3 linked regions of the Stegostoma tigrinum genome follow. The protein of the gene in region 3 purifies or fractionates together with the protein of the main gene of each other region. This does not show direct contact. Links are inferred from orthologs where the notes say so. Each region holds a gene or a part of one and is shown on either strand. Other genes may lie near its edges.

Region 1 (7,502 bases), on a different chromosome or scaffold from region 3:
CTAATCCTAAAGTCTATCAAACCTCCACCCCTGCCTTATTCTATCATCCATGTGTCTATCTAACAGCTGCTTAAATGCCCCTAATGAGGCCAACTCCACTACCCTCTCCGGCAATGCATTCCACAAGGGATAGGGAGAGGAAAGATTAAGTGAACTCACCTCAACAGAGAGTGACTTGCCTGCCCAGTATTCCTATCATTTTATATTTCACAGATAATCTCCCTTTCATTTCCCCCCCACTGGCTCTTACTACCACATTCATTTAATTAAGTGAATTGAAATTCTCCAGCTACAGTGGAGGGGCAGGGATCTGAAATCATGTCTATGAATGTATGTTGTTTTGATCTCTATTTGCTTTTCTTTTCAGTTTATGGGTCAGAAGCATGAAGAACTAAACAGATATAGAAGTTTTTTGTTTCAATTAAGCAGGCAAGAGGATGTCAGCATTGAACCAGATCTTACTCTGGTGAATGGTAGGATTTAGATTCAATTAATAAATCTGGATGTTGAAACTAGTTACAATAATCATGGCCATAAAAACTTCAAGTTATTATAAAGGAATTCTGCTATCTTTACCTGGTCTGGCCCAAAGCAATGGGCAGTACAGTGGCTCTGTGGTTAGCACTGCTGCCTCACAGCACCAGAAACCTGCGTTCAATTCCAGCCTCAGATGACTGTGTGGAGTTTGCACATTTTACCTATATCTGCATGGTTTTGCTCTGGTTCCCTCCTGCAGTCCAAATATGTGCAGCTTAGGTGGATTGGTCATGGGAAATGCAAAGTTACAAGCGATAGGGTAGGGAGGTGAGTCTGGTGTTTAGAGAGTTGGTGTGGGCTTGTTGGGCCAAATAGCCTGTTTTGATTCTATGACTCACTTTTCAATGATATCTGATACAGCCTGGTAAAGTACTCAGCTAAGTGGTAAATAGGGATGGGCAGCATTTTGGCCATGCCAGTCACACCCATGTCTCATGAAACATTTAGAAAAACCTTTCCAGTTTCATCCTTCTTGAATAACGAGACAATACCATTCATTGTATCTACCTTATCATCATGAGTCTGATGTAAAGCTTTATCTGCAAAATCTCTCAAGACGGCATTTTGAAGTCCCAGCCACTTATGTACACAATCTAAACTCTCACAAAACCACTTCACCACAAATGGAGAGTGTTACCCAATCAGCAAAGGCTGACCCATCCATCAAGCGACTATCAAAGAAAGTTGATGTTGCAGGTCAGGACCTTCTTCAGGATTGAAATGTCAACTTTCCTCCTGCTCTGATGCTGCCTGGCCTGCTGTGTTCCTCCAGCTGTACACTGTGTTATCTCTGACTCCAGTATCTGCAGTTCTTACGATCTCTGACTATCAAAGAAAGCCCAGTTTCAAAATTTCCAGTGCAGAAAGTTTACACATCAACTATCTATCTGTTTATATCAAAACATGTTCCTGGAATGCGAGTACCATGGGCAAGTCTGATTGTGCCCAAAAAGGTGATCGTGGACCCAGCTCCTGAAACTTTGGCAAGTTTTGAGAAACTACGACAGAGGCAATTAAAGTCAACCACGCCCAAAACTTAAACACTTCTTTGTAGTAGCTCAGCAGTTAGCACCACTATCTCACAGCATCAGGGACCCAGGTTTGCTTCCAGTTTGTGGGGAGTTTACACATTCTCCCTGTGTCTGCGTGGGTTTCCTCTGGGTTCTCCGGTTTCCTCCCACAATCCAAAGACATGCAGGTTGGGCTGACTGGCCATGGGAAATGCAGGATTGTAGAATGGGGTGGGATGCGCTTTGGACCAGAGTGGACCTGATGGGCTGAATGGCCTGCTTCTACACGATAGGGGTTCTATGATTTCTGAACGTAACATCCTTGCAGACAGAACAAATGACTTGTTCAATAATCAATAAAAGCTTACTTTCATAACTGCTTACAATAAAGGGTTTATAACATAAGCAAAGTTACAGAATTAAGCCGACTTTTTGATCAAACAATTCTATCTAACTTACACAGAAGAGGACATTCTGTTTTTTTTTAAATAGCTGTTTACTGTACTCTGGCGAAACCTTGAAATGCAGACAGAAAATTAACGTGGATAATCTACACAATTACTGCAATCCATATCCCATTACGAACTGGATCACAGCCTCCAGACTTAGACATTTACGAGAAAAAGGCTACATTTGTTCTGCCGTTAGCTTAATTAGAATCATCCCTTCAATGTTCCAGATAAGATGTTTTATTCTAAGAAAAAAGAACAAAAATTTGCTAATCTGCCGAAGGAAAAACAACGGAACAAAATCTCCCCTGGTAGTCTCTACAATAAATATTCGGACAAAGTATTAGGAAATTTGAGAATACTGACTCGGCAGAAAACCAGGTCGCGGTATCCAATTTAAAATGATCTATAGTTGGACAAGTGCAAAACTAAACCATTTTAGAGAAAACTGAACGATTTCGACAGCGCGAGAGAAACTCTGTAAACTGCTACATGCAACCTGCCGTCTGAAAAATGAACGGTGAATCTCCAGGTGTAAAGAGGAAGATGTATAAAGAAATAAGCGACCAGCTTCCTTCCTGGGGCAGAAAAAAAAGTGTAAGAATCTCCGTTTTCCCTCCGTTCCCAGCAGCGTTGTGAAAGTGACTTACCCCGCTCTACTTTCCCGCTGTTGCAGAGGCGTGTACTGTCCCGCAGTCCTTGAGCCAGCTTCCCATTGTATAAACTGCTGGGAGCACAGGATTTTAGTCCCACTTATAGTTCCCCCTCGTCCTCCTGCTGCATCTACCCTCCCAAAAAAAAGCTCCTGTCCGTTTTGCAATAACTCCAACCTCAGTCTCAGTTATGAAATGAGCTTCGCTGCTCTTGTGCGGGTTAAAGTTGCGATGTTGGCGTGTCGCTAGGACAGAGTGAGTGTGGGAGAGGGAGAGAGAGAGAGAGAGAATGTGTGAGAGAGAGAATGTGTGTATGTGTGTGTGTGAGAGAGAGAGAAATTCAGTGTTGGTCCAAGTTCAAAGTGACGCAGTGTCAATTCTGATTCCACCTTCAGCTCCCAACACAATGCCAATAATCTCTTGAAATCCTTTATCTTTTCCAACTTTATTTTTCAAACTGTTGAACTTCGAGAATTCTCCCCCCACCTCCTGAAATGGAAAGCCCTGAAATTGTCCTTGAAGTAGCGCCTTCTGGTGGATTCTTTCCGAATAGGTTCATCTATTCCTGGTTCTCCATAGCGCGCACCAATTCGACTTAACTTTTTTTTAAAAAAGTTCAGGCAGGTTATGATACAATCTGGGGCAGATCGGACTTGACTTTAAACATTCTAGTCCAGAGGTATGGACACTTACCGCTGTGTCACTAGACCCATCCAGCTCAGAGATCAGAGATAATGGGAACTGCAGATGCTGGAGAATCCAAGATAACAAAGTGTGAAGCTGGATGAAAACAGCAGGACAAGCAGCATCTCAGGAGCACAAAAGCTGACGTTTCGGGCCTAGACCCTCTCTGATGAATATAATGGCCTGCTGTGTTCTTCCAGCTTCACACTTTGTTATCTCAGCTCAGCTTGTTTATTGCTGCCAGACAATCACTTCTTACTTTGAAGATCTGTCATTATTTCCTCTCTGGTTATTTTAAAATAAAATCTCCACCTGTTCAGCAATATTAAAACACGCTGGTGGAGCAGGTCGGACTTGAAACCAGGCCTCCCATTCTGGAAGGGGGAAACACTACCCCTGTGCTACAAGAGCCCTCTGTGTACAGACTTGCCTTAGAGTTAGATTTGACTGCAAACCCACTGCTCTACATTTTCGAAGTCATTCTGCTGCATCCCTATATAGTATGATTGGAATGGCGACAACGCAGGAAGAGGCTATTCAACCACTCAAATTGGTGCTGGCTTTCTGATTGGCCAATTGACCAGTATCACGATCCCGCCTTCTCTCTGTAACTCTGTACATTCTTCATTCTCTGACGGTGATCCCACTTGCTCCTGAAGGCTGCAGGTCAACCTGTCTCCACTTTAGATTATAGCCACTTGCTGTGTGAAAAAGGTTTGCCTCATGCCGCCATTGCTCCCTTTGACAATTACCTAAAGTCTGTGTCCTCTGCTTCCTAAACTTATTAATCTATGGGATAACAACCTCCTTATCTGTCTGGACTCCATATTATCTTCAGTACTTCTACCAATTCTCCTCTCAATCCTCTCATAGTTTCATGAGCCATACAGGGTAGGTAATTAGTGCATTGAACCTGTGCCATTCCTGAAGAATAACAGAATTAATCCCATTCCCTGGATCTTTCCTACTCACGCTGTGATCTCTCCTTCAAAGCAATCTCTTCTCAATGGTTTGTTTAGATGAACATTTCTGATCTTGACCAAACAGATTAAAGCTGAAATCATTTCAAAAAGATTTGCTTTGCAGGAGGAGGGCCCCCCACACCTTACATCCAGTGAATGGTGACCATGTAAAACTTCCAAGTATTGCAATTATAAGACCAGAAGACATAGGAGTGAAAGTAAGGCCATTTGGCCCATCGAACCCACTCTGCCATTTAATCATGGCTGATGGGCATTTCAACTCCACTTCCCTGCACTCTCCCCATAATCCCTAATTTCTTGTGAGATCAAGAATTTATCAATCTCCGCTCAATTATAGTAGGTCAAAAGTCACACAACACCAGGTTATAGTCCAACAGGTTTATTGAAATCACAAATTTTTGCAGTGCTGCTGCTCTTAGAAGAGTCTGCAATCCATGTAGGCCAGTTAAGGACAGCAGACTTCTTTAGATTAGATTAGATTCCATTCCCTACAGTGTGGAAACAGGCCCTTTGGCCCAACAAGTCCACACCAGCCCTTGAAGCAAGCCACCCAGACCCATCTCCCTATAACCCACACACTCATGAATACTATGGGCAGTTTTAGCATGGCCAATCCACCTAGCCTACACATCTTTGGACTGTGGGAAGAAACCCACGCAGACACAGGGAGAATGTGCAAACTCCACACAGACAGTTGCCCGAGGCTTGAATTGAACCTGGGCCCCTGGTGCTGTGAGGCTGCAGTGCTAACCACTGAGCCACTGTGCCACCCCGGTGTCCTTTTACCTAAAGGACATTAATGTATCAGATGAGTTTCTAATGACAATTGATATTAGTTCCACCGTCACCGTAACTGAAACTAGCTTTCAATTCCAGATGTATTGATTGAATTAAAGTTCCATCAGCTGCTATGATGGCATTTGAAATTGTTTCGATTACTAGCCTGGTGATTTTACCACTGTCTCCCCAAGCTATCAACTGTTAGGGATGTGCATGAACCCACAGTTTAAGGGTAATAAACTGGCTTGTTCTAAGTGCTACCTCAGTGACATTGCCCTTCTGCTAACATCTCTCCTTTAATAGAATTCTCTCCCATTAGTTTCTATCTCTGATCAACAACAACAAGCTAAAGCTTAAATAAATTCAAAAGGATACAGAGGAGGAAGTCCCTCCGAATGTACATCAGGTGAATAAGAGATAGCAAGAACTGCCAATGCTGGAGTGAGAGACAACACAGTGTGGAGCTGGAGGAACACAGCAGGTCAGGCAGCATCAGAGGAACAAGACTCTGAAGAAGGGTCCCAACCCAAAACATTAACTTTCCTGCTCCTCTGACGCCACCTGTCCTGTTCTGTTCCTCCAGCTCCACACTGTGTTGTCAGGTGAGTAAGAGACTGTTTGAAATTCGTTGAATTGCATTTATCACATCATACTTCATTCCTTGCATCTCATTACTTTATGATTCCTCGAATATTGTATCACGTGGAGAAATATTTTGAAACCATTGTTAAACAGTTCAGAATTAGAAAGAATACAATATTAAAATTTTTATTGAGTCACTATATTAAGGCCCTCTCCATGTTGAAATCCGACTGTTGCTCCAAAATAACATTTGAAGGCAGCTCCTTAAGACAGTAACATGAATATTTAATTTCCTTCCTGCCACTTTAACCAGAAAGTTTGTTCCTTTTGAGTCATTAGAGTTACCACGCTAAGGAAAAGGTACTTTGGCCCATCATATCCAAACCAGTTATCAAACATTCATCTATTCTAACCCCATTTTCCAGCATTTGGACCATACCCTTATATGCTATGGCATTTCAAGTGTTAATGTAAATGCTTCTATAATGTCTTGAGGGACTTGGCCTCTACCACCCTTTTAGGCAGTGAGTCCTAGATTCCCACCATCCTCTGGATGAAAAAAAAATCCTTAAATCCCCTCTAAAACTCTTGCTCCTAACTTTAAAAATTGTGCCCCATTGTTTATTGACCCTTCTTCTAAAGGAAGTTTCTTCCTCTCTCCCCTATCAATGCACTTCATAACTTTGTACACCTCAGTCAGATTCTGCCTCAGCCTTAGCTACTGGAAGGAAAACAACCCCAGCCAGGCTGGTCTCTTTTCATAGCGAAAACCCTCCAGCCCAGGAAACATCCCTATGAATGTTTTCTGCATCTTGTCGAGTACAATCTCATTCTTCCTATTGTATGGTGATCAGAATTGTACACAGTACTCTAGCTATTGACCTAAATAATATCATATACAACTCCATCATAAACTCCTTGCTCTTATATTCAATGCCTTAATTAAAAAAGCCAACATCCAATATGACTTTTTAATCACTTTATCAACCTGTCCTGTTGCACTCAAGGATATGTGAATATGTGCACTACCGTTCCTCCAATCCTTTGTAATTCCAAGGGTCCTATAGGTCCTGTTTGACATGTACTCTCTTGTTTTGTTAATCCTGCCAAAATGCATTTCCTCTGACTTTTCAGGATTAAATTCAATTTACCATTGTTTGGCCCATCTAAGCGGGCATTTACAACATCCTGGGCTTTAAGGCTTTCCTCCTCCTATTCACAATGCCAATTTTCATATCACCTGTGAACATACTGATCATACTTCCTACATTCATGTCTAAGTCATTAATACATACAACATACAGCAGGTGACCCGGCTCCAAACCCACTATGCCCCTGGACACAAGTTCCCAGTCACAAAAATGCCCTTCACCTATTACCATCTGCTTCCTGCCACTAAGCCAATTTTGGATCCAATTCGCCAAAAGACTCTTAGCTTCTTAACTAATCTGCCAATCAAGACCTTGTCAAAAGCTTTATTGAAGTCTGTGTAGACTGCATCAACTGCACTACCCTCATCTACTTGCCTAGTCTCCACCTTGAAAAATACAATTACATCTGTTAGACATGACTTCCCAAAGCCATGCTGACTATCCTTGACTAATCCTTGCCTCTCCAAGTGCAGATTAATTCTGTCTGTCAGAAATTTTTCCAGTATTTTCTCCTGCCACAGGTATTAAAATCTGTGGATTCCTGGCTTACCCCTACCACTCACATTGAGTAAGGGCACCATATTAGCTGTTCTCGAGCCACTCCACTCCAATGAACAGAGAGGGTTAAAATTTAATCTCAGAGCCTGTTTATTATCCTCCCTTGTTTCCCACA
Region 2 (7,851 bases), on a different chromosome or scaffold from region 3:
AGCCCTAATATAATCAGTATCTCAGCAAGAGAGTAGACAGGAATTTTGGAAAGGGAGAAAGCAAACAAACGTACAAAAAGATTAAGAAAAAAAGTGATGCACAACGTGTGCGGACATTAGTTCCAACTTGAGCAGCTGACGATAGTGGTTTAAGGTATTTAATGGGGAGGTATTAAGGGGAACAACAGAAAGTACAGATGTTTTAGACATCAGTTATATGGAATATTTCTTATTTTACGAAAAGCCCAATGTGTTTGCCATTTAGACAAAACAAAAATCATTGAAAAAAACGCTAGCTGCACAACTTCTCAAAAATTCACTACTGCTTTGCTGCTGGCAAGCAGATCAGTAGGTTTCCCGATGGATCTAATCCGTACGCTAGAGGATCCTACTATCCAGACAGGCAGTTTATGTGTGAACAACTTAAACTATCATTATACTTCAATCATTTGCCTCTCTTTGTAGTTAAATTTGTACTTGGATGGGGATCGCATATACACAGTACATTTGAAACCTCTGATAACCAATAAGACCTACTACATACCAGTATCATCTTGTTGACAATGACAATTCAATACTACAACACAACCTTAGTTTGTCAGAGCTATTTGCATTAGTGGTATGCTACTGAACACTTGAAAGATTAACCTTTGACGGTCACTGGACCTTTTACATTTATTTTGTTAATAGAATTATAACAGTGAAAAGGTGCCTCATATCACTGAAATCAGTACTAATAACCATTAAGTAGTGTTGGCTTGACCAATAAATATGTTTGCCAGCATGCTCACATCCCACATGAATAAAATATCAATTATTTTAATTATGTATTTTAAAGTTCAACGCAAATTAGGTTACAGCTGATGTCGAGGGATCATTTTCTTTACAATATTATCTTTACTTCCTCCCCATCAAAACGATTTTAATCAACTGCACTATTCTCTAACAAGAGTGTGGACTTCTGATTAAAATGTCAATAAGTTTTGAAATCAGAAAAGGATTTCCCACTCTGCAAAATCTAAATTGACACCCAGAATTTTAACGCAACTCCCACTATCCTTATTTCCACTTAAAAATCCGTAGTTATCAATACGGTTTTCCTTAAAATGTCATATCGTACCGATTCGGTATCTACTTTCCTCAGTACCACCTCCACACGTGTCCAACTCAGATGCCGCACACAGCCGAAACTGTTTACATTCATAAATCACGCCCCTTCCTCCATAAGGCTTCCTGTTCACCGCCCAACTGCTCCCGAATCGCATCATGTACACTGACATCAAGTTGTAATCTGATCGTTCAACACTATAAGCAGAGTTCATTAGAAATGCTGCACTGGCGCTGGCATTCATTTCAGTGTTGCGGGGTTTAAAATGACGCGACAACGTCTGTCAAATATTCGCAATTACATTGTTCGACTATTCCCGCTTTCTCGCCTCTCCGTGATTCACAGAATCGCAAGGCAACAGGTTGTCAGCTTAAGGAGAAAGAATGATTTCGTAATCGGATATAGAAAAGCCAAGGCATTCCCGCGTTGTTAAAACGTCAAACCTGTTTCTCTGTCCAGAATATTTAAGTCCTTATGTTCAGAACAACCCATTGGTATTTTAACAGCTCTCATCGGCCGACGCTGCTGTTAACCTCAAAAAGTAAGAAGACGACTAGATATCGAGCGGTCTATGTACGTACCTATTAATGCTTGAAAGAGATTACTGCGGAATATATTGATAACTCGCTCGATGGAGGCACGGAGCTGACGGTCTTCAGTCTTGCCGAGCTTGGCACGGTAATTCTCCAGGAGCTTCAGAGCTCGCTGAGCATCTGAGCAGAGACAAGGGGCAAAAATAATCACACATTTAACGATCATTACTGGACCGATCCCGTAACAACTCCTGGAGCTACTACATCTTTGCCCAGCTTTTAGCACTTGATAGAAAATGACAAAGATATCCTTCGTTAAAATCGGTTCGTCTTAAAGTTCGTGGCAATGGTGCTAAATACAAAGTGTTAGCGGACTTTAAAAACTTTTATTAAAATGTTTCTGCAAAATTTAATATGCTGAAACTCACCCTGCTTTCGAACCGGCATCCTCCTGTTTCAGATTTCCTTCACAGGTTAAAGCTCCCAGTTGGTAATTCCCTCAATTCCAAGTTGTCCTCCGGAGTCTAAGAGTCTCCGGAGACAGGATCTTTTCTTCTGCGCTTTCAAACGGTCCCGATAAACTGCCAGAAACACCGGATCCCAACTTTTCGCTCCGACTCAAGGAAATGTGTAAATATTTAGTGCAATCAGTTTCACTGACAATCAATTTTTTTTTCCTTTCAAAACAGGCTTAGGCTTGTTTGAGAGACACTTTTGGTTTCTTTCCGATATCAGTCAATCCTTCCTTCCTGAAGTAGACTGACCGGTTTGTAAAGTGTTGGCCTCAGGAGGACCACATCCTGACTCTCTCCTCTTGCCCAGTCTGGAATACCGATTCGCTGATCAGAACGTTTCTGCTGGTTATCTTGCCCGGTCACTGCTCGCTTGTCCTACTTGTTCAAGGTGACTGCAGGAGACCAACTGGGGAGAGTGGATCCTCTCCGCTGAGCTTGAGAGTGACTGTCCTGGTCTCTGCCCCTAACACTCAGGGTCGTCCAGTGGATCCCTTTGCTGGGTGTCGGTTGTTTTGATTCTTGGAAAAGAGAGTTGGAGGGGCGGGGGGTTGTGTCCTCTCTCCTCGGTATGGGATGCAGCAAGCGGCGGCCTTGCCCCACACCCCGCCAGCCCGAAAGAGGGGCCGACTCTCTGGCTGCCTCCCCGTCAGGCGAGTTACAGGCTCCGGGGCTTGCGCTCTCTTGCCTCCCCGTGGAGTTGTAGTCCTTCACCGCCGCCAGTGACCCACCGCCTCCTCCTCCTTTCCCCGCCCCGAGAGGTGGGGCCCCCGGACCGGCACCGGCACACACTCTCCCACTCCTCTTCTTCCGGATTCCACCAAAAACAAACTTTCGCTGCCGCCGCTTCCCTCCCACCCGGCGAACAACTGCTACTACTCCTCTTCCCAGTCACTGCCAGAAAAATCCCAAACTTTCCCCCAAAATGGCGACCGGGACGGCGAATCTCCACCACCTGACCGGCCGCCCGCCAATCAGGAGGGAGCAGGCCGACCGGGGGGCGGGGCCCAGGTTTAAGGAAGGCTGCGGTGATGCTGCAGAGCAGCTCACCCAAGATTTGAAACTCCAGTGCTGTTCCTCCCCAACACCCTGCCCCAGAACTCACTCACCGTCCCTCCCCAACACCCTGCCCCGTAACTCACTCACCGTCCCTCCCCAACACCCTGCCCCGTAACTCACTCACCGTCCCTCCCCAACACCCTGCCCCAGAACTCACTCACCGTCCCTCCCCAACACCCTGCCCCAGAACTCACTCACCGTCCCTCCCCAACACCCTGCCCCGTAACTCACTCACCGTCCCTCCCCAACACCCTGCCCCGTAACTCACTCACCGTCCCTCCCCAACACCCTGCCCCGTAACTCACTCACCGTCCCTCCCCAACACCCTGTCCCGTAACTCACTCACCGTCCCTCGCCAACATCCTGCCCCGTAACTCACTCACTGTCCCTCCCCAACACCCTGCCCCGTAACTCACTCACCGTCCCTCCCCAACACCCTGTCCCATAACTCACTCACCGTCCCTCCCCAACACCCTGCCCCAGAACTCACTCACCGTCCCTCCCCAAAACCCTGCCCCATAACTCACTCACCGTCCCTCCCCAACACCCTGCCCCGTAACTCACTCACCGTCCCTCCCCAACACCCTGCCCCGTAACTCACTCACCGTCCCTCCCCAACACCCTGCCCCAGAACTCACTCACCGTCCCTCCCCAACACCCTGCCCCAGAACTCACTCACCGTCCCTCCCCAAAACCCTGCCCCATAACTCACTCACCGTCCCTCCCCAACACCCTGCCACAGAACTCACTCACCATCCCTCCCCAACACCCTGCCCTGTAACTCACTCGCCGTCCCTCCCCAACATCATGCCCCGTAACTCACTCACCGTCTCTTTCCAACACCCTGCCCCATAACTCAGTCACCGTCCCTCCCCGGCGCCCTGCCCCATAACTCACTCACTGTCCCTCCCCGGCGCCCTGCCCCAAAACCCACTCGCCGTCCTCTCCAACACCCTGCCTCAAAATTCACTCGTTGTCCCTCCCCAAAACCCTGCCCCAAAACTCACTCACCGTCCCTCCCCAACACCCTGACCCATAACTCACTCAGCGTCCCTCCCCAAAACCCTGCCCCAAAACTCACTCACCGTCCCTCCCCAACACACTGCCCCAGAACTCACTCACCATCCTTCCCCAACACCCTGCCCCGTAACTCACTCACCATCCCTCCCCAACACCCTGCCCCGTAACTCACTCACCGTCCCTCCCCAACACCCTGCCCCGTAACTCACCCACCGTCCCTCCCCAACACCCTGCCCCGTAACTCACTCACCGTCCCACCCCAACACCCTGCCCCGTAACTCACTCACCGTCCCTCCCCAACACCCTGCCCCGTAACTCACTCACCGCCCCTCCCCAACACCCTGCCCCGTAACTCACTCACCGCCCCTCCCCAACACCCTGCACCGTAACTCACTCACCGTCCCTCCCCAACACCCTGTCCCGTAACTCACTCAGCGTCCCTCCCCAACACCCTGCCCCAGAACTCACTCACCGTCCCTCCCCAACACCCTGCCCCGTAACTCACTCACCGTCCCTCCCCAACACCCTGCCCCGTAACTCACTCACCGTCCCTCCCCAACACCCTGTCCCGTAACTCACTCACCGTCCCTCCCCAACACCCTGCCCCGTAACTCACTCACCGTCCCTCCCCAACACCCTGCCCCGTAACTCACTCACCGTCCCTCCCCAACACCCTGCCCCGTAACTCACTCACCGTCCCTCCCCAACACCCTGCCCCGTAACTCACTCACCGTCCCTCCCCAACACCCTGCCCCGTAACTCACTCACCGTCCCTCCCCAACACCCTGTCCCGTAACTCACTCACCGTCTCTTCCCAACACCCTGCCCCGTAACTCACTCACCGTCCCTCCCCAACACCCTGTCCCGTAACTCACTCACCGTCCCTCGCCAATATCCTGCCCCGTAACTCACTCACTGTCCCTCCCCAACACCCTGCCCCGTAACTCACTCACCGTCCCTCCCCAACACCCTGCCCCGTAACTCACTCACCGTCCCTCCCCAACACCCTGTCCCATAACTCACTCACCGTCCCTCCCCAATATCCTGCCCCAGAACTCACTCACCGTCCCTCCCCAACACCCTGCCCCAGAACTCACTCACCGTCCCTCCCCAACACCCTGCCCCAGAACTCACTCACCGTCCCTCCCCAAAACCCTGCCCCATAACTCACTCACCGTCCCTCCCCAACACCCTGCCACAGAACTCACTCACCATCCCTCCCCAACACCCTGCCCTGTAACTCACTCGCCGTCCCTCCCCAACATCATGCCCCGTAACTCACTCACCGTCTCTTTCCAACACCCTGCCCCATAACTCAGTCACCGTCCCTCCCCGGCGCCCTGCCCCATAACTCACTCACTGTCCCTCCCCGGCGCCCTGCCCCAAAACCCACTCGCCGTCCTCTCCAACACCCTGCCTCAAAATTCACTCGTTGTCCCTCCCCAAAACCCTGCCCCAAAACTCACTCACCGTCCCTCCCCAACACCCTGACCCATAACTCACTCAGCGTCCCTCCCCAAAACCCTGCCCCAAAACTCACTCACCGTCCCTCCCCAACACACTGCCCCAGAACTCACTCACCATCCTTCCCCAACACCCTGCCCCGTAACTCACTCACCGTCCCTCCCCAACACCCTGCCCTGTAACTCACTCACCGTCCCTCCCCAACACCCTGCCCTGTAACTCACTCACCGTCTCTTCCCAACACCCTGCCCCATAACTCACTCACTGTCCCTCCCCGGCGCCCTGCCCCAAACCCGCTCGCCATCACTCCCTGGCACCCTGACACAAAACCAGCTCGCCGTCCCTCCCCGGCACCCTGCCCCAAAACCCACTCGCCGTCCTCTCCAACACCCTGCCTCAAAACTCACTCGTTGTCCCTCCCCAACACCCTGCCCCAAAACCGACTCGCCGTCCCTCCCCGGCACCCTGCCCCAAAACCCGCTCACCGTCCCTCCCCGGCGCCCTGCCCCAAAACCCGCTCGCCGTCCCTCCCCGACGCCCTGCCCCAAAACCCACTTGCCGTCCTTCCCCGGCGCCCTGCCCCAAAACCCACTCGCCGTCCTTCCCTGGCACCCTGCCCCAAAACCGACTCGCCGTCCCTCCCCGGCGCCCTGCCGCAAAACCCACTCGCCGTCCTTCCCTGGCGCCCTGCCCCAAAACCCGCTCGCCATCCCTCCCCGGCACCCTGCCCCAAAACCCGCTCGCCATCCCTCCCCGGCACCCTGCCCCAAAACCGACTCGCCGTCCCTCCCCGGCGCCCTGCCGCAAAACCCACTCACCGTCCTTCCCTGGCGCCCTGCCCCAAAACCCGCTCGCCATCCCTCCCCGGCACCCTGCCCCAAAACCCGCTCACCGTCTTGCCCCAGCGCCCTGCCCCAAAACCCACTCGCCGTCCCTCCCCAGCGCCCTGCCCCAAAACCCACTCGCCGTCCCTCCCCGGCGCCCTGCCCCAAAATCCACTCGCCGTCCCTCCCCAGCGCCCTGCCCCAAAACCCACTCGCCGTCCTTCCCCGGCGCCCTGCCCCAAAACCCACTCGCCGTCCCTCCCCGGCGCCCTGCCCCAAAACCGACTCACCGTCCCTCCCCGGCGCCCTGCCCCAAAATCCACTCGCCGTCCCTCCCCAGCGCCCTGCCCCAAAACCCACTCGCCGTCCCTCCCCGGCGCCCTGCCCCAAAACCCACTCGCCGTCCCTCCCCGGCGCCCTGCCCCAAAACCCACTCGCCGTCCCTCCCCAGCGCCCTGCCCCAAAACCCACTCGCCGTCCCTCCCCGGCGCCCTGCCTCAAAACCGACTCGCTGTCGCTCCCCAGCGCCCTGCCCCAAAACCCACTCGCCGTCCCTCCCCGGCGCCCTGCCTCAAAACTCACTCGTTGTCCCTCCCCGGCACCCTGCCCCAAAACCCGCTCACCGTCCCTTCCCGGCGCCCTGCCCCAAATCCCGCTCGCCGTCCCTCCCCGGCGCACTGCCCGTAAACCCGCTCACCGTCCCTTCCCCGCGCCCTGCCCCAAATCCCGCTCGCCGTCCCTCCCCGGCGCACTGCCCCAAATCCCGCTCGCCGTCCCTCCCCGGCGCACTGCCCGAAAACCCGCTCGCCGTCACTCCCCGGCACCCTGCCCCAAAACCCACTCGCCATCCTCTCCAACACCCTGCCTCAAAACTCACTCGTTGTCCCTCCCCAACACCCTGCCCCAAAACTCACTCACTGTCCCACCCTCTCACCCTGTCTGAAAACTCACTCACTGGCCCTTTCCAACACCCTCCCTCACACAGCCTGCCTCAAAACTCAATCACTGTCCCTTTCTTATTCACTGGTTCCCACTCAATTTCTTTCCCTTCCTCCTAATCTGGTACAGTACCATCCTCAGATTTTGGCTCCACATCAATCATTATTGTTCACTGCCTCCAAATCAATCACTATTCATTCTTCCTTCCAGCTCAATCAGCATCCATCCCTGCTTCTGCCTGAGTCACTGCCCCTATATGCTTACGAATGAATCATGATTTTCAGGACGGCATAATTAATGGAATGCCACACGGATCACTGCTGGAGTCTTGATTTTTTAACACTATATATAAATAACTTGGCTGACATAAGTGAATCTGTTAGGACCAAGTT
Region 3 (7,581 bases):
AACATGCTAGTCATCGATCCAACTGTGCTAACCGGCCCATTCAACCATAAAATAAAGCCACAAGTTTAAAGAGAGTGTCTTCTGATTTCGAGTTTAACATAAATTTATTATTATTTACATTTTAACCATGTCCAAAAATAATGATTCAAGCAACTGAATTTTGGTTACTGCAAAAAAGCTTTTTCTGTGGGTGTATGTGCGATTCATGAGAAAAGTCTGACTTTTCAATGAACAATTGTAGTGAAACAGTACACGTCTGGGTGACAGACAGTCGAAAATGTCTTTATACACAAGTTTTATATTGTATGGTCATGTCAATACTACCAGAATAATACCAACACTATTGTTGTTGTCAATTCAGTGGATAACTACCTTTATGAACGAGAGTACAGTAATCTCCATTTGCTACAGTAATCAGTGTTTCAGTATCCGTGCTTGGTTGTTGTTATGACGTACACATCTTCCAAAGCCGCTGAAAAATAGTGTGACTGCTACACATTATTTTGGAAATGAAGCGTGCTTTCAAATTTTATGACACTACTTTTAGTTTTTTATTCTAGCAATCTTTATTTTAAAATCTGAAACAAACTGGTTATTGTCCCCATTGGGATTATTTCCAGTTCTTTTGCTAACCCTAATTCCATTAGTCTCCTTTTGGAATTAGAAGTAGCTGTCCACCCATTTCCTACATTTGGTTAAATTAGCACAGACAATACACCAGGGGCATTGCTTCCTCACTCACTTGCAGCCAAATTGATTTCAAATAATGAAATGGTATTTCTGCATCAAAGAAAGAAAGAATTTGATTTATATAGCAGCTTTAACATCCTCCTGTTGTCCCATGGCACCTCACAACCAATTAAGTAGTTTGAGAAGCAAAATAAGAAAGACATCTGCTAATTTGCGCATAGCAATGAGCCATGAATAGAAACATAAATAGCCAGCCTTAATTATGTTGATTTACAGACAAACGTTACCCAGGACACAGAATTCCCAACTCTCATCTGAAATACATTATGGGGTCTCAAGGTTCTAGACAGTCAGTTTAAAGCTCATCTTGAAGCCAGTATGTCTGATAGATGTTCCCGTCCACTCTACAGATTCACAATCCAAGATGTTCATCAAATTCAGTCAAACTTTACAAAATTACAGAACAAAATGAACATTTTAAAATCTACTCTCCCCTATTACATTAATGTTTCCTTCCGGAAAGTTGCCATGCCCGCAAAGTCATCCTCTGCCCCGTGTAAAGTAACCACTTTATTGTAACTTTCATGTCGAACAAACACAGGTTCACCCCAAATTTAACTTACAAATACAACTTTTATTATTTATTCATGGGATATGGGCATTGCCCATCATTAATTTCCATTTCACAGGGCAGTTAGGAGTCAACCATGTTGCTGTGTGTACAGTATGAGATTTGATCAGACCAGGTAAGGATAACAAATTTCCTTCCTTCTCTCTACAGGTGCTGCCAAACCTGCTGAGTTTCTCCAGCACTGTTTTTGTTTCAGATTTCCAGCATCTACAATTCTGTTTTAAAATTCCTTCCCTGCTGATCTATGCATTCCTAATTTTACACTAAAAACAAACCAGATATGATCAGCAATATTTCTGCTACAACTTTGTACCTTAAATTTTACTCCAAAGAAACTACTTTTTTCCATTAAAATAAAGTCCAGTGCACCGACAGACTGTTGCAATACCAAAGCTGCAAATTTTAAGAAAGACAGCTTAAGTGTCTGTCTCAGTGGAAGTTTTAAAAAAACCTGAATGCAAGAACTTTTTTTAGACAAGAATCCTTTCTGAACAGATATTCAACAACTGCAGTACCATTGAGATCTGAACACATCCTGAAATACTTTACAACAGCATGAAATAAAATTTGACATTGAGCAACCAAAGGATATGAGGAGAGTTAATCATAAGTTCATTGGTTAAAGGCAAAAGGTTTTAAGGAATTTGTTAAGCAAAGATGTCACACTTGTTCCTTTTCCTTAAGGATGGGGAATGGAGAGGTTGAGGAAGGGAATTAGCAGCTTAGCATCTGAAGGCACTGGCGCTTGAGCCATTTACAATCAGGTGTGCACAAGAGACTACAATTACGGAGTCCAAATATCTCAGACTTTTTCAGGGTGGGGGCAGAAAAAAGCAAGTGGAGGTGTTCACAGAGGGGGAATGGCATGGAGGGATTTGAAAACAATCATGGGAATTTTTAAACAAACAAAACAGAAATTGTTGGAGAGATTCCACAGGTCTGGTAGCATCAGTGGAGTATAAAACAGGGTTAACATTTCAAGACCCATGACCCTCTTTCAGAACTAGTTGTCTGTTTTCTCTATCTACAGATGCTGCCGGACCTAGAGAGTTTCTCCAACAACAACATCAACAACGCTGCTGGAAAAGCTCAGCAGGTCTGGCAGCATGAGTGAAGAAAAAAAAAATCAGACTTAACATCTCGGGTCCAGTGACCCTTCCTCAGAACTGGGTTTCTCCAACAGTTGCTGGTTTTACTTGTTTCAGATCTCCAGTCTCTCAGTTCGATTTGAAAATTGTAAAAGCCTGACTTGTCATTTACCCCTTGGTTTGGGGGAGGGGAGGGAAAGAGGAGGTAGTGCTGGTTCCCTGAGGAAGGAAGAGCTTGCTTCCCCAAAAACCTGTCTCGCCAGCTTCCAGCTGCAAAAGCCTTTCTGAGAAACACTCCTGAGGCGTAACCAAGGGTCTAGGTAACCCAGGAGCCAGAAGGTCCACCTTTGTACCAGCAGCCTGGCTCAGGCACCTTATAGCTCGTTCGACTCAATTTGATTTATGCCTTCGCAGTGACCGGAACTCTCCCCCACCCCGAGATGGCAGCTTGGCGAAAGGACAGTGAGGGCGGAGGCCTACCTCTGTCCAGTCTGATGGGCTCCATCACCAACGCCATTCCACAACAAAACGACAGAATAAACGGACACTCCGGAAGTGACGTCTCCAGACGAGCCACAAACGTTTTATTCGTCGCTACGCTCCGGTAACGACAGCGCCACCGGCAGGCTGGGAGGACGCATTGAACCCACTCAGAGCCCTGAACTCAACCTTCGGTCACATTTCGTACCAAGTGAGCCACCCGGATTGCAACTGCTGTGTTTTTCCACATATAGCTTTTCTTTTGGGTCCTATCTATGTTTCTACGGTTTCCCGTTTAAACTCTAGGATTGTTTTTTCACAAGCCTCTGTTGCATATATAAAAAATAAATCGAAAGAACTGCAGATACTGGAAACAAAAACATAAATTGCTGGGTAATCTCAGCACCTTTGTGCAGAGAAAGCAGAATTAATGATTAGGCTCCTGTGACCCTTCAGAACTCCTTCTTCTGAAGAAGGCTCACTAGACCTAAGTGTTAACTCTGAATTCTGCACAGATGCTACCAGACCAGTTGAGATTTTCCAGCAACTTCAGTTTTTGTTCTGTTACCTGTACGTTTATTTGTTAAATTTGGAGCAAATCTATGCCTTTAAATGTTAGATTTTGTAATTTTTCTGTATTATTGCCATTAACCAAATCTGCTTCCATCTCACAGTGATCATGCCAAAACTGCATAGAATGATTTTATCATTGGATTTGGCACCAGACCCAGTCCATGCGTGTGCATGGGTAGATATCGCCATTTTGGTTTGGAAATTGAGTCATCGTTGTGTTGCATTTGTGTAGGTTTTTTCACGACGTAAAAGTATAGCTGTAAAAGGGTGGTGGTATGTTTTAGTTGCTCATATGACATTGTCCTGAAAAACAACTTGTATTGTTTCACAATGTCAAGGACAAGTTAGGTAATATAATCATGTAAATATCTAGGGATTGCTGAGATTAAAATGGTCTATACACAGCAACGAAAGCAAAGTTGCTGGAAAAGCTCAGTAGGTCTGGCAGCATGTGTGGAGGAGAAAACAGAGTTCATGTTTCAGGTCCGGTGACCTTTCCTCAGAACCCTTCGGGTCACCAGACCGGAAACGTTAACTCTGTCTTCTCCTCCACACATGCTGCCAGACCTGCTGAGCTTTTCCACAAACTTTGTTTTTGTTCCTAATTTAAGGCATCCGCAGTTCTTTTGGGATTTTTTTTAAAGCACTGTATGTTTTTCTAAGTTTATCTTGAAGGCACTGTCTAGGTTTTTACCAAAACATATTGGTGGCAACTCTAGTGAAACTTTATAAAGCTCTAGTTAGGCCCCATTTAGAATGCTGTGTCCAATTTTGGGCCCCACACGTCAGGAAGGACATACTAGCCCTGGAGTGTGTCCAGCGGAGATTCACACGGATGATTCCTGGAATGGTAGGCTTAATGTATGATGAATGGCTAAGGATCCTGGGATTGTATTCATTAGAGTTAAGAAGGTCAAGGGGAGATCTAGTCGAAACTTAAAAGATAATGTATGGCTTAGAAGGGGTGGACACTGGGAAGTTGTTTCCGTTAGGTGGGGAGACTAGGACCCATGGGCACAGCCTTAGAATTAGAGGGGGTAAATTTAAAATGGAAATGAGGAGACATTTCTTCAGCCAGAGAGTGGTGGGCTTGTGGAATTCATTGCCACGGAGTGCAGTGGAGGCCGGGACGTTAGACTTCTTCAAGGCAGAGATCAATAAATTCTTGATCTCACAAGGAATCAAGGGCTACGGGGAGAGTGCGGGGAAGTGGAGTTGAAATGCCCATTAGCCATGATTTAAATGGGAGAGTGGGCACGATGGGCCGAATGGCCTTACTTCCACTCCTATGTCTTATGGTCTTATGGTGTTACAGTGGTGCGAGAGTGAGCGGAGAAAAAGCCTGGCTTTAAAATCATAGTAAACAAAACAAATAACTAAAAAAAACAAGTTTCTCTCGCAATTTCTGTTTTTGTTTAAAATATAATGTTTTCTTTGATTGTCCAGGGTGGTTTTTCCTTATGGAATTAGGTCAGAAACAGGCTTGGAACTTCTGTGGCATTGCACAGATGTCCAGAGGATGGAATTGAACCTGGGTTCCTGGCACTGTAAGGCAGCAGTGCTAACCACTGAGTCCCATGCTGCCCCAATTATGTTACAACCATTGAATTATGGAAGGTGAATGCTCAGAAACAGGCCAAAAACTATTTGGAAACTGGATATGAGAGTTCCATCATTCCATGGTCAAAATGAATAGTAGCAATGTTAGTAAAACTCCACATTTTTAACAAGTAGCTTCTCACTATGTCATTCACAAGGAATTCATGATTTGTGCTGTCGATTTCACAAGAGCACAAAGCCATATCGATCAGCCGCCTGTCATCAGATGGGCTCATTCAAGTCCTCTCTTTTTAACCCTGTCAGTCACAACAAATATTTTTATTCTGCTTTTATTACAAAGCTATTTATTATTACATAATTTGTAATACAATTACAGACCCAATTATCAACAATTTCTTGAATTAAAGAAAAGGATTTTATTATCGACTAACCCTGAGGAAATAAAGTGAAAATATGATATTAAATAAACACACACACAAGCACAGGAATAAAATTTACAAGGGATATAGTCTGGTACAGACAAGAAGAAATAAGGCTAATTTTATGAAGATTCATCAAAAATAAGTTATTAGCTGGTGTTTGACAGTACGGGACTTAGATATTGCTGAAAAAGAGACACTTTGTCAGCCGTTTTCTCCATGTGCTCATTTTGCAGAAAGGAGTGTGTTAAGATAGATGGAATATTGTATTTTACTGTGTGTTTCAAAATTTTAAAAATGGTGTTATATATAAATAGTTTGACTTATTTTGTTTTATTTTATTTTATTTTACACAATAAACTTCTATTTTATTGTTAAACTAAATATTAAACATTGTGCACTTGTGTTCTCTGAGGCGGCTGTGTTTCTCTGGAACTCCTTGCCACAGAGAGCTATCTGGGCAGAATCATTATGTGTATTTAAGGCTCAGACAGATAGATTTTTGAGCAGTCAGGGAATCAAGGGTTACGGGGAAAATGTAGGAAAGCAGATGTGAGGAATGTTGGATTGGCCGTGATCTTACTGAATGATGGAGCAACCTCAACAGCTCCTGTTCCTATTTCTTATGGTCTTAAAATATGATCTATAAAGCCAGATTTCAATCTGGGATCTGACTTCTCCAGTAATAACATCAGCTCCGATCATAACAATTTGTTGACTTGTTTTTTAAGATGCAGAGACAAATACACAAGGTGTCAGAGCAGGTGCATACAGACAGAAGAGATCTATAGCAGCAAAGGTGCTTTTCTGATGAATTTCTAAGCAGCCAGGGCTTTGGAGAAGTCTCAAGATTCTTAAAGGTTGGTAAGAAGACAGCTCCAGATGCAAAAAGCTGTGAATGTAAAGATCAGGGAATCCATGGTAAATACTAATTGTGAGCTGAGTTAGCAGCTTGTTTCAAAGGTCTTTGGAAAAGATATATCTGAAGAAAACGACATTTAATGAAAATGCAGCAACTTGTAAAAACAGAAAATGATTATAAGCCATTCCAAGTGAGCAAGAAGCATTAGAATGAAAATTGGGGTTACCTTACACTGAGATTTGAGTCCCTGTAAGGGTATTGCTGAAGTAAAATGGATGAATCTTTCTTTCTGATTTTTGAGAGAAAGAAAAATCAAACTTATGGTCTATGAAGCCAGGTCTAACTCTGGGATCTGATTTGTCTAATATTACCATCAGCTGGAACCATAAAATAGTGGTGGCTACTTGTAGTAGCAGATATATTGAAATTTAAGTGCTTTATGTGAATCTTTAAAAATTAGACCACGGAGGCACTGAGCATAGAAACAGAAGAGTTGTCATGAAGCATATTATAAATGAGCAGAATTTTTAAATAGCTTTGAAAGTTGCAACAATTTCTTTGGGAATAGAAGATGAAACAATGGATTATTTGAAATCTTTAGAGATTAGGCAAATCTAAGAAAGTAGGCATATAAACTGGAGGTAGGGGAAATAAAATAAATTAGTTATTTATTGTCACATATATCTAGAAAGAAAAAGTGAGAAGTGTTTTGTTGCTACAATCCGGCAGCATTTTGAGTTACGAAAAGAATAAAGATAAATTACATAAAGAGAGCACATCTTCTGTACAAAGTGTCGCCAGACACAACTTCAGAGCTTCTGCAAGGTGTCCCAGGCCTCAAGGAGTCCCTGTACTGCAGGCCTACCACAGCCAGGAGTCCCCATTCCGGGTACTGTTTCTGCCATAGCGACCTGCTGCCACCAAGAGACCCCGCACTGGGGCACCACCACCATTGCAGACGATGGCCCGCTGAGTTCACGAGTCCATAGTCTGGGCCCACTGCAGCCAAAAGTCCTTGCACCAAGCACCTCCACCGCCACAGCCAATGACCCGCTGAGTACTGTTCCGGCTTCCCCCAGACATCTGAAGGTGAAGAAAAGAAAATAAAGAGAAAGGAAAGGATAAGAAAGAAGAGAAAGAGGAGGATGTAGCCGGCCTAAAGCGGATTGGCTCAGGAGCCTGAACACTGCCCAATGTGCTGATGCCGCCATCTTGGGGTGTCTATGTGAACAGGATATCATAAAGATGATACTCTGAAAGTGATTGCCCATTGCTTGA

What was found.
Region 1: the proteins of lin7c (region 3) and rho guanine nucleotide exchange factor 26-like purify together in Homo sapiens (affinity purification with mass spectrometry; 3 studies listed by BioGRID and IntAct, counting the BioPlex papers as one, with this or other methods). This does not show direct contact. The link is inferred for Stegostoma tigrinum from reciprocal best matches to the Homo sapiens genes LIN7C and ARHGEF26.
Region 2: the proteins of lin7c (region 3) and disks large homolog 1-like purify together in Homo sapiens (affinity purification with mass spectrometry; 4 studies listed by BioGRID and IntAct, counting the BioPlex papers as one, with this or other methods). This does not show direct contact. The link is inferred for Stegostoma tigrinum from reciprocal best matches to the Homo sapiens genes LIN7C and DLG1.

The regions. Positions count from the first base shown.
Region 1 is NC_081367.1:63,309,722-63,317,223, forward strand, and holds the start of rho guanine nucleotide exchange factor 26-like, read right to left. Parts: upstream 3,087-7,502; 5' UTR 2,647-3,086; intron 1-2,646. UniProt on the Homo sapiens protein: Activates RhoG GTPase by promoting the exchange of GDP by GTP. Required for the formation of membrane ruffles during macropinocytosis. Required for the formation of cup-like structures during trans-endothelial migration of leukocytes.
Region 2 is NC_081367.1:52,820,395-52,828,245, forward strand, and holds the start of disks large homolog 1-like, read right to left. Parts: upstream 3,096-7,851; 5' UTR 2,089-3,095; coding exon 2,070-2,088; intron 1,822-2,069; coding exon 1,690-1,821; intron 1-1,689. UniProt on the Homo sapiens protein: Essential multidomain scaffolding protein required for normal development. Recruits channels, receptors and signaling molecules to discrete plasma membrane domains in polarized cells.
Region 3 is NC_081370.1:53,126,905-53,134,485, forward strand, and holds the start of lin7c (protein lin-7 homolog C), read right to left. Parts: upstream 3,005-7,581; 5' UTR 2,927-3,004; coding exon 2,890-2,926; intron 1-2,889. UniProt on the Homo sapiens protein: Plays a role in establishing and maintaining the asymmetric distribution of channels and receptors at the plasma membrane of polarized cells.